3 linked regions of the Sus scrofa genome follow. The protein of the gene in region 1 purifies or fractionates together with the protein of each later gene. This does not show direct contact. Links are inferred from orthologs where the notes say so. Each region holds a gene or a part of one and is shown on either strand. Other genes may lie near its edges.

Region 1 (3,651 bases):
GTACTAATAAAGTCAAAGGGAAAAAAAGGAGCCCATCGTAAATGCTTAAAAAATTGCCATTCTGAAGGTGTTTAATAGTTTGCTGTCTCTCTCAAAAGTCCAAGACTGGGACCCAAATAAAAAATTCCAGTAATAGATTATTAACAATGGGAACATTGTTTTGTTTAAGAAGCAGAGTAACAGAGTATTTTAGGCAGCTTTTTTTTCTTGAAAATTCTGCTAAGGATTTCTGCATGCTTTCATAGCATTTTGCTTTAATAAAGGAAATAATATTTGGGTGTTGATGTATTGAACTGCTTTTGATACTTCTGTACATTTCTTTTAATAAATATAAGCAGTTTCCAAGTCTTTTCAGGATTAATAGATGAAATAAAATTCCTGTGAACTTTTCAAAAAATTTAACATCCTACAGGATCTGCTTCAGTATCATCTATAAGCTTAACCAAGAGCACTGATGAAGTGCCTGTCCCCCCTCCTGTTCCTCCACGAAGACGACCAGAATCTGCCCCAGCGGAATCTTCGCCATCTAAGGTAAAGTAGAAAATCTTGTTATCTGGAAACCAGAATCATTATAGTTACATTATAATCAATTGCTTGTGTCTAGTTTTAACTGGATTTGGTTAACAGTATTTGGGCTTTAACAGAGTTTAAACAAGGATTAAATACAGATTTACAGGCAGTAATTTTTATTTCCTTTCTTCTGAAAGCAGTTTTGGGGATGATTTTCAAAACCCTTGTAAATCTAAATTATGGGTACTGTCGCAAAAAAGCAAATTTAACATATAATGTAAGAGTAATGTAGTCTCAGGCAGTTCTTTAAAAACATACAAAAGACAAAGAAGGAGAGAGAGAGGAAAGAGGTCTGAAGCTTTATATGAAACACATTCTGAATGAAACTGTATCTTAGTGCTAAACATTACCTGAGTCCTTAATAGTGAATCTGACATGCTTTTAAATAGGATTTTCATGAAGATTTTGGGTTGGAAGAGACCTTAAAGGCTCATAATAGCTATTTTTTTCTACCTGTTTGAATTTCTGTGTTTGCCACCTGTTAACATGATGCAGTGGTCTCAAAGTGTCCAGAGGTCAGAGCACCTGGGCGAGTCAAGATATTCTTTGCAGAATATCATGAAATGTTAATGTAGTAAGTTTAAAATTGTAAAAATTGGTAGGTAACTTAGGTTAAATCAGAAGTGATCATACATTACTGAGTGATAGGTAAGCAGTAGCAAACTACAAAATTTTACAAAAAATAAGATAAAAACTTTGAGGGGAAAAATTTTCTTTTAATGAATGAATTGCCACAACCTCCAATTTAAAACCTATGGTGGAGTTCCTGTCCTGGCGCGAGGAAATGAATCCAACAAGGAACCATGAGGTTGCGGGTTTGATCCCTGACCTTGCTCAATGGGTTAAGGATCCGGCCTTGCTATGGCTGGTGTAGGCCGGCAGCCACAGCTCCGATTAGACCCCTAGCCTGGGAACCTCCATATGCCACGGGTGTGGCCCTAAAAAGACTAAATTAATTAATTAATTTAATGAAATAAATAATACCTATGGCAGAACTCCCTGATCCACACCTAGAGTTCTTCCAATAGCATGTTTGAAAACCCCAGCTTAATTATTAATATATTCATGGTGCTAAATAAATTTTTAATGCATGTCTTTTTTTTTTTTTTCCATTTATGTTAGATTATGTCTAAGCATTTGGACAGCCCCCCAGCAATTCCTCCTAGGCAACCCACATCAAAAGCCTATTCACCACGATATTCCATATCAGACCGGACCTCTATATCAGACCCTCCTGAAAGCCCTCCCTTACTACCACCACGAGAACCTGTGAGGACACCTGATGTTTTCTCAAGCTCACCACTACATCTCCAACCTCCCCCTTTGGGCAAAAAAAGTGACCATAGTAATGCCTTCTTCCCAAATAGCCCTTCCCCCTTTACACCACCTCCTCCTCAAACACCTTCTCCTCACGGCACCAGAAGGCATCTACCATCACCACCATTGACACAGGAAGTAGACCTTCATTCCATTGCTGGGCCACCTGTTCCTCCACGACAAAGCACTTCTCAACATATCCCCAAACTCCCTCCAAAAACTTACAAAAGGGAGCACACACACCCATCCATGCACAGAGATGGACCACCACTGTTGGAGAACGCCCATTCTTCCTGAACTCCTCTGTACCGGGATGTCCATTTTCTTCACCCCAAATCCATTGCTGGCAATGGATGCACTGAATGTGCCAGCACTGAGGAGTTAAAAATGAGAGCTCCAAACACTAATGACTCTACTTCAAGATGCAGTATAAGACAATGAACTTAACCGAGACAAAATTATAAAATGAAAATGGTGTTTGTTTAGAATATGGAAAGACTGATCTAGAGGAAGTGGACAACTGATTGCACCTGAAAATCAAGTAAAGGGACTTTTTCCAGCCAGTAGGCAGGAGTCCTCTTTTTGTGAAGTGATCTTTCTCATTAAAGGGATGGAAAACACAGTCTAGTGTCCAACAGGCCCACATGATGACAGTTTTTGTAATTCAAAATATTATGCACTTTTTAAAAAATCTTAAACAGGGATCTTCAAACCCTCCTTTGTTTTCCTTTGCTTTTACTCGTCCTACTTTAGAATATTTTCTTAAAAATCATTCAGAGGACTGTGAGGAAAGGCTGTGGTACCTGACTTGTTGGAATCAAGGCCCAGCACTGTACTACAGTCCTGTTTACAGATAATTACAGTGAAATGAATGGGTACCGAGGCTTCACCAAAGAGGTACTTTTTTTTTTTTTAAGAGTAATTATACCAATTTTAAGAGCATTTCCCTACTCACCTTCCCTACACAAACAAAACGTGGTGGTGTTGCCTTCAAACAAGAGAAGTTTTATGTCATTAATACTGACAGAAGAACTTTTTAAAAAATGTAACTGTCGAGTATATGATTTACACTTAGGAGACTGTTAATCTGTGCTAGATTGTCATTTTCCCCCCTTCTCCCACAAAGTTTACTGGTAATCCATGTCATGGCTTGTAGCTGTCCCTCTAACCACTCTGGAAATGCAGTCACCCAGTGTGAAAGGAGCACTTGCTGGGCATCATTGACACCGTTCATGTTTTACTAATAGTTGAGTGATGAGCATATCGAGAATTACCTTGCATTGCCTAAATCATGTGTATATAGTGAATGTTATATAATATACCTGGCAGGTCTGTTTTAATTTAATTGAATAAAGATACAAATACTTTGTTTGGCTGGCATATATTAAATTATTATCTGGATAAAATGGTTGATTCTTATTTCTTTCAGTTCAAACACACAAACACTAAGCATAAAAGCACGTATTGTGGTACGCCTTGGTTTCTAGTTCTAGATGTATGTATTCATCTTAAAGAATGACATTTGGCATGTAGGAAAATATTTGGTTAGAATAGGATGGATATCTTTTAAGCAGAGCTTTGTAAGGTTTTTAATTTCCTAGGCAACATGTATACAGTTTGTTAAAGTTTTATATTAAACATTCTACCTTGCTTGAGGTCTTTGCTCTATCAGAACTGCTCATAATAGAACATCTATCTACATCATTAATAACATAATACAGATTATTCATTAAGCCTATGTACTGATCTTCTGAGTCTAACAAA
Region 2 (3,656 bases), on another chromosome or scaffold:
TGGTTTGCGATGTACCAGTAGTACCTCCACGGTCCCTGGTACATAAAAGGTACCCAACAAATGGACGTCAATCAATAAGTGAAGGAATGCCTGAATGTTTGCCAACAGAAGTAACTGCACCACACTGGATTAGCAGTTACAAAGTCTCTAAAGTACGACAATATACTTACTTGTCCGACCTTTGAAAGTTTAAGTTCTCTTAATGTATAGTCATGAGCGGCACTTTCTTTGACGTTCCTAACGCGCATGACCCCGTATTCTTTTAGCGCATACTCATCAGGCCAGTATTTGACACATTTACTCTGGAAGGGATCAGAGAAAAGACAGTTAATCTCTGTGAACTCTGGTATGAAAGCCTAAAGCAGCAGAGAACCACCAATGTTTGAGTCTTAACGACCGCTAACTTGGAAGAGAGCCTATCTGGTATCTAACTGTTGGATTTTCAAAGAAAAGGAAAGAAGAGTTCAAATAAGAAAAGTCGGTGCATGGTGAACCAAGGAGAAGTGGGAAGAGAAAGCCACCACTGCAGAGCTGTCTGCCCTAAGCCACAAGTCAGAGGAGAGCCGGTGCTCATTTATTTCTCTCCCAAAGAACCTGAGGCAGAGAGAGGGGAACTACCCCATGCAAGGGTGCTTGTCTAGCAACCACTGAGCTCTGAATTCCGGAATCTGCCAGTCACTCTGCAGGGAAGGCGAGCAGGGACTCTGGAGGTGGATGGGCTGCCCAGTGAGCCAGACTGTCTGGTTCCTTTCCGCACCAGTGTGGGAGGCCTCCGTGCCTTATCTAACCTAAGTGTGAATAACTCCAGCACAGAAAGGCAGCTGATATGGGGTCTGAACCAGCTGCTTTTTCTATATCCAGATCCATTTGATACCTGCTACACATGCCACCTTCACATAACTGGGTGCCTGGGAACGCCAAGCCCGCAATAGCTGCTGGCTTCAGAGCAGGCAGATTGGAAAACATGGCACCAAGAGAATCATGCTTGCTGCCAAAAAGGAAGAGATTTCGCTCACTGAGAGATGAGTCTGCATGTATTTGGTGATGTATCCTGGGCAGAGAACGCTTTTGTGTCTTGTTTTTTCCTGGGAGCGGTCACCCACACCACTCACTTTCCACAACCACCAAGACACAAACATCAGCAAGAGAAAGCTACCTTGTACATCGGGAAAACAGAGAAATTCACTGTTATTACACAAGAAATAAGACAGCAGCTACAGACATTCCCCACGATGATGAAGTGGGGAAAAAAATGGTAGAAGGAAAGTTCGACAGAAGAATTAATGGATGGTGCTAGTTTTTTGCTTGGCACAGTTTATGCGGTCTTTTATTTATTATTCTGAATTTGTCTTTCCCTCTAGTATGCTGCAGATCCAAATACCTCTTTGACAGATTTGATTCAATTTTTATTATCCCAAATAAACACTTACTATTAAGTGTATCAATGCGGTTAGTGGTCAATCCATTCTGAGGACTGCTGGTCGCTCAAGAGAACACAAATTAAACCACAACTCCTAACACCGTAGCTGACACTACACTTCTGCAAAGTACTGTGCTCCCCTCCCAGCTTCCCAAACTCTTGATATAAACCTTGGCAAACAAATTCTAAACTGCAAGCCCTAATACTTTAGCTTTAAATTAAAGCCCAGGAATCAAAGGCAGTCCAGAGTCTGGTTTTCCTTCTGTGCACCGGGGGAATACCAAGGGAGGAGATTATCAGAAGGTCTGCATGAAAATTTCACTGGAGAAGACAAACAGCAGATTATACCCTGCAGAAGAAAAGATTAACTGAAAGATGTATAGCAAAAGAAACTTATCCAAAACAAAACACAGAGGGGAACCAGGTCTCAATGAGCAATAGGACAACTTTAAAGAGCCTAATATACGTGTAATTGGTATCCAGAAAAAGTGGGTTGAGGGTACATATTTGAAGACATAGTAAACATTACTCACATTTGAAGAAAATTGTAAGTCCACAGACCCAAGAAGTTCCATGACTTCCAAGCAGAAGAAATATAAAGAAAACTATACCAAAGTATGTCATAACCAAATTTCTCCTGATCCCTTTTTTCCAGAGGGTAAGAGAAAGTGAAATGTGTTTATTCAGTTCTTAACATGATCAACCTGACATGTCCAATACTTTAAAAAAGCAGAGTATGTAGTATACCTTTCCTCTCTCCACTTCTTTTGTTGTCATGACAATTACTCGGGAGTTCTCCTGAAATACCATCCTCCAAAAGTCATTCACCGTGTTTTGCAGGCAGCCTTGGGTGGCAATGTAACTCTTTTTGGGCTTTGAGTTGTTGCACTTGGTTTCAAATTCAGGCTAGAAATTTAGGAAGAAAATCCTTCAAACATCTGAAAGCTGCTTTTAGGAAGGAAGGATTTATAATACAAAAATCGGCTAGCAAGGTAAAGTCAGAAACACTGTGAAAAGCCAAGTTTACCATGATGATATTTGCATTGATGTAATCTGAAACAGGCTCATTGGGATCACCATCATGTAAGACGACTCTGGTATGATCAACTGGAAGAAAACGAGAGCATAGTCACAAAAGTACCCAGACCTCTCAGGGCAGGTCAGTTCAAATCAGTTCAACCTCAACTTCGTCCAAGTTGTGTTCATTTAATGATTAAACAGCATCAAAAACTAAACTCTAAGTGAATATGACAATAATCTGAACATGAGGCCTCATAATGTTTTCTTTAAGGAGACTAAAGTAGTAATGTCAATTCCCTGGTGTTGATAATGCACTATGGATAGATAAGACATTTTCACTGGGAGAAGCTGGGTAAAGGGTACAAGGGAAACCCCCTACATATCTTTGTAACTTCGTGTGTGAATCTAAAAATCATTTCAAAACAAAAAGGATTTTAAAAAAAAAAAAGAAGAGTAAAGTACAGATAAATAACAATGATATCTGAGATATGCTTCAATATAATTCAGGGAGAGAAGCAAAGTGTAACAGAATATAGATGAATCAAGACTGGGCATGAGTTGACAATTGTTGGAGCTGGGTGATGGGTACCCGTGGGTTCTTTATACTACTCTACTTTTGAATATATTTTAAACTTTCCATAATAAAAAGTTCTTTTAATGAAGTAGCATTAAATACAGTATCTAAATGACAAGATTCTGATGACAATTATTTACTGACTAAATTCTGTACAAAAGTACATGCGCCAACGTCTGCAGAGCAAGGACACAAGCCTGGAACCCCTGAGGATCGTGGTGAGACCCTGGGAGATGGCAAGCCTTGGGGAATCAAAATCTCCAAAAGTGGAATTCCCATCACAGCACAGTGGAAACAAATCTGACTAATATCCTTCAGGACATAGGTTTGATCCCTGGCCTCGCTCAGTGGGTTAAGGATCTGGCATTGCTGTGACTGTGGCATAGGCCAGCGGCTATAGCTCTAATTTGACCCCTAGCCTGGGAACCTACATATGCCATGGGTACAGCCCTGAAAAAAAAAAAAATCTCCAAAAGTGACTGATATTGAGAAATACATTGATACTTACAGGGCAGGATGTTTTTATATCTATTTTTGTTTTTATTTTCTTGCCTCTGACCCTCTTTTCGGCTATAGAGAAGCTTGCACTCCTGTTGTTGTAGTGTCTAGAGAGAAACAAAAGTAGATATCGTCATGCATGAA
Region 3 (3,656 bases), on another chromosome or scaffold:
CTCCTGATTTATCCCACCTCCACCCTCTTCCCCTTTGGTAACCATAAGTTTGTCTTCAATGTCTGTGAATCTGTTTCTGTTGTGTAAATAAGTTCATTTGTGTCATGTTTTAGATTCCACATGTAGGTGATATCATGTGGTATTTATCTTTCACTGTCTCACATACTTCACTTAGTATGATCTCTAAGTCCATCCATGTTGCTATGAATGGCATTATTTCATTCCTTTTTATGCCCGAGTAATACTCCATCACACACACACACACACACACACACACACACTCTTTTTTTTTTTTGGTCTTTTTACCATTTCTTGGGCCGCTCCCGCGGCATATGGAGGTTCCCAGGCTAGGGGTCTAATCAGAGCTGTAGCTGCCAGCCCATGCCAGAGCCACAGCTACGCAGAATCCAAGCCGAGTCTGCGACCTACACCACAGCTCATGGCAATGCCAGATCGTTAACCCACTGAGCAAGAGCAGGGATCGAACCCGCAACCTCATGGTTCCTAGTCGGATCCGTTAACCACTGAGCCACAACAGAAACTCCACCCCCACATACTCTTTATCCCTTCATCTGTTGATGGACATTTTGATTGCTTCCATGTCTTGACTATTATCAATAGTGCTGCTATGAACATAGGGGTTCATGTATCTTTTTGAATTGGTTTTATCCAGATATATGCTCAGGAGTGGGGAATGCTGGATCATATAGCAACTCTATTTTTAGTTTTTTGAGGAACCTCCATACTGTTTTCCATGATGTGCTGCGCCAAAATTTACATTGCCACCAACAGTGTAGGAAGGTTCCCTTTTTCCCACACCGTGTCTAGCATTTATTATTTGCGGACTTTTTTTTTTTTTTTTTTTTTGCCACACCAGATTGTGAGAGGCATCATGTCATGCTTTGCATTTTTTCTTGAAAGTAGTGAAGAACCATGAAGAATTTTAAGCAAGTCTTAATCAGATTTATGTTTTAATGTTTAGTAGGTTCTTATGCTTCCTTTCGTCTTCCTTTTTTTCTTCAAATGCTATCACGTCCATTCTGACTTTTTCCCTTGTTTATAAGTGAAGTTTTGAATTTTTCCTTTGTTCACCTGGAGAAATCTTGAACACTTAATGTCACTATAACCTCTTATTTCTAGCCTTCTGTGGGAAAAGATTAGATACACTCTCAGTTTTCCCAGTATTCTCTGTGTTATTGCTTGAATTTTGGGTTGCCTTTCTCTCTAAATGAACTATTGCAGATTTATTTTTGTTTTTTATTAACCAATAAACTCTTGTCTGGTGGGCTACTTAAAGAATACTATAGTGAGTAGTATAAATCAAATACTTACTTACCTAGCCATCCTTTCGGAAATTTATGAAAAGACAGACACAAAATTCCTGATAAGCTATAAAGGGTTAATTCCATGAATGACTTTAATAGTCTTATGTGTGAGGCCTTAAATTGGTTTATTTGAAACAATTTTTGTTTCTTTTTGGCTGCCCCCATGGCATTAGGAAGTTCCCTGGCCAGGGATTGAACCCATGCCACAGCATGACAATGCTGGGTCTTTAACCCAGGGAACCACAGAGGAACTCCTTAGGTAATTCTAAAATAGCCAGACCTTTGCAAATTAAATTGAGATTTCTGTGAAGTCTACCTCACAAAATTATTGTTGTTGTCACTGAGCAAAATTTACCAGCCAATTGGGTGAAATCTAGCTCTAGCCATTTACCTTGTTAGGCTTAACTTTCCTCATCAAAATACTGCAGGGCTTGTATTGGATGATTTCTAAAGTTTTTTTCTGTCTTATGATTTTTTTATCCTACATCTAATAATTTTTTGCAAATTGTCTTTCATGTAGTGCTCACATGGTCTTCTGAAGAAGCCATGGGTAGCTGTTGTAGCTGTCCAGATAAAGACACTGTCCCAGATAACCACCGGAACAAGTTTAAGGTCAGTAAAATTCATTGAGTTGTATTTCTCACTACCTGACAGAATGCTCTTTTACCTCACTTAACATACTTATTACTTCCTTTACGTTTATCTTCAGATCCTTTCATTTTCCTTTTTGTCCATTCTGCCTTTTCTTGTTTTAACACATGATGACAACATTTTCTTACTGGCAGTTGTGAAATCCTCTTTTCTTTTCTTTTTCTTCAGTCTTCCATATCCAATTAGCTATATAATTCTGATAATATTGTCTTTTTTAAAAATCTTTTAACTATTTTTTTAAACTTGGAAGACATTTACATTTATTTTTACTTTCCCGCATCACCGGTCATGGGTATGAGTGGTAAATCTTATATCTCCATCAGAAAAACATAGCATTATTGAGTCCTATGAAGAACTTAATCTCTGGTTACGGTTAAGAGGTCCTGGATTTGGTCCATCAGCCCTCTTTGAAATCATCAATTGATAGTATTGTCCGTAGAATGCCATTTTATGGGTCCTGTCATTCACTCCCAGTCATTGTTTAATGGCGGGGAAATTTCTTAACTGCTTCCAGTCACCTCTGTGATCCATCTGCAGGTGACATCAAATTAATCTTCTTCTTTCATCATTCTAAAACTTTGGTGCTATTGTATTATCACCAAAACTAAATGTTCCATTCCTTACGTATCCAGAGACATTAGTATCTCTCATATTCTCACTTCACTCTGCTCTAAATCATAGTCTCTTGTTCACAATAACCCGGTGTAAGTCACAGTCCTTCATAGCTTTGTGACTTTGGGCAGGTTACATTATCACTAAGTCTTTGTTCATTAGCATGTAACAGAGAAAATTGTATTACCTGTAGTATAGAACTGGTGCGAGTGAAAAAAAAAAAAAGGGATTGGTGTGAGTATTAAATGACAAAAATACAAGGAAAGCACTTTCCCCACTAGGTTCTCCCTAAGCGTTATCTATTCTTCATAGTCTCTGGCCATTTTCTGAAACTCAGCTGTGTAAGGCCTTCCCTTATATGACTCAGTGCCAGTCCTGTCTTGGTCTCTCTGAACACACCTTGTTGTCTCTGCTGTAGCACTGCATCTTCAGAATGTGCCTCTCAACTCCTGACCCATCAACTCTTCCTCTTAATTTTATTTCCTATCTAACTTTAATTATACTCAAAGCCCAGCTAAAGTTCCTTCTCTACGTATGTGAAGTGTTGTTCTCCAACAACCCTCAGCCATAGTTCATCCATTGTACAGCCTCTCTTGCACTCATGTGTAAATTAATCACGTACAGTTTTGTGGTGTTGACTTTGTGTTTGTCTATCTTATCTCCTCAGAGGGAATGTGAGTTTTGTGGATATGAACCGGTTTACACCGCCACACAGTCCATGCCCTGTACACATGGTAGTTGATGATTTAACTAATAGAGGAGCAAATAACTGAACCAATCAGCCACAGTACATTTTCCTGGCCAATTAGTGAAATATTTATAGGACTGTCAAGTGGGAGCATATAGGTTAGCACTAATTAAACCTTCTTTTTTAGGTCATTAATGTGGATGATGATGGAAATGAGTTAGGTTCTGGCATAATGGAACTTACAGACACAGAACTGATTTTATACACACGCAAGCGTGACTCGGTAAAATGGCACTACCTCTGCCTCCGACGCTATGGCTATGATTCAAATCTCTTTTCTTTTGAAAGTGGTCGAAGGTGTCAAACTGGACAAGGTAGGT

What was found.
Region 2: the proteins of SOS1 (region 1) and PTPN11 purify together in Homo sapiens (affinity purification with western blotting; 4 studies listed by BioGRID and IntAct, with this or other methods). This does not show direct contact. The link is inferred for Sus scrofa from reciprocal best matches to the Homo sapiens genes SOS1 and PTPN11.
Region 3: the proteins of SOS1 (region 1) and FRS2 purify together in Homo sapiens (affinity purification with western blotting; 5 studies listed by BioGRID). This does not show direct contact. The link is inferred for Sus scrofa from reciprocal best matches to the Homo sapiens genes SOS1 and FRS2.

The regions. Positions count from the first base shown.
Region 1 is NC_010445.4:101,359,440-101,363,090, forward strand, and holds part of SOS1 (son of sevenless homolog 1), read left to right. Parts: intron 1-412; coding exon 413-531; intron 532-1,692; coding exon 1,693-2,184; 3' UTR 2,185-3,651.
Region 2 is NC_010456.5:39,229,470-39,233,125, forward strand, and holds part of PTPN11 (tyrosine-protein phosphatase non-receptor type 11), read right to left. Parts: intron 3,620-3,656; coding exon 3,523-3,619; intron 2,528-3,522; coding exon 2,448-2,527; intron 2,327-2,447; coding exon 2,168-2,326; intron 303-2,167; coding exon 171-302; intron 1-170. UniProt on the Homo sapiens protein: Acts downstream of various receptor and cytoplasmic protein tyrosine kinases to participate in the signal transduction from the cell surface to the nucleus. Positively regulates MAPK signal transduction pathway. Dephosphorylates GAB1, ARHGAP35 and EGFR.
Region 3 is NC_010447.5:33,840,348-33,844,003, forward strand, and holds part of FRS2 (fibroblast growth factor receptor substrate 2), read left to right. Parts: intron 1-1,845; coding exon 1,846-1,937; intron 1,938-3,463; coding exon 3,464-3,650; intron 3,651-3,656. UniProt on the Homo sapiens protein: Adapter protein that links activated FGR and NGF receptors to downstream signaling pathways.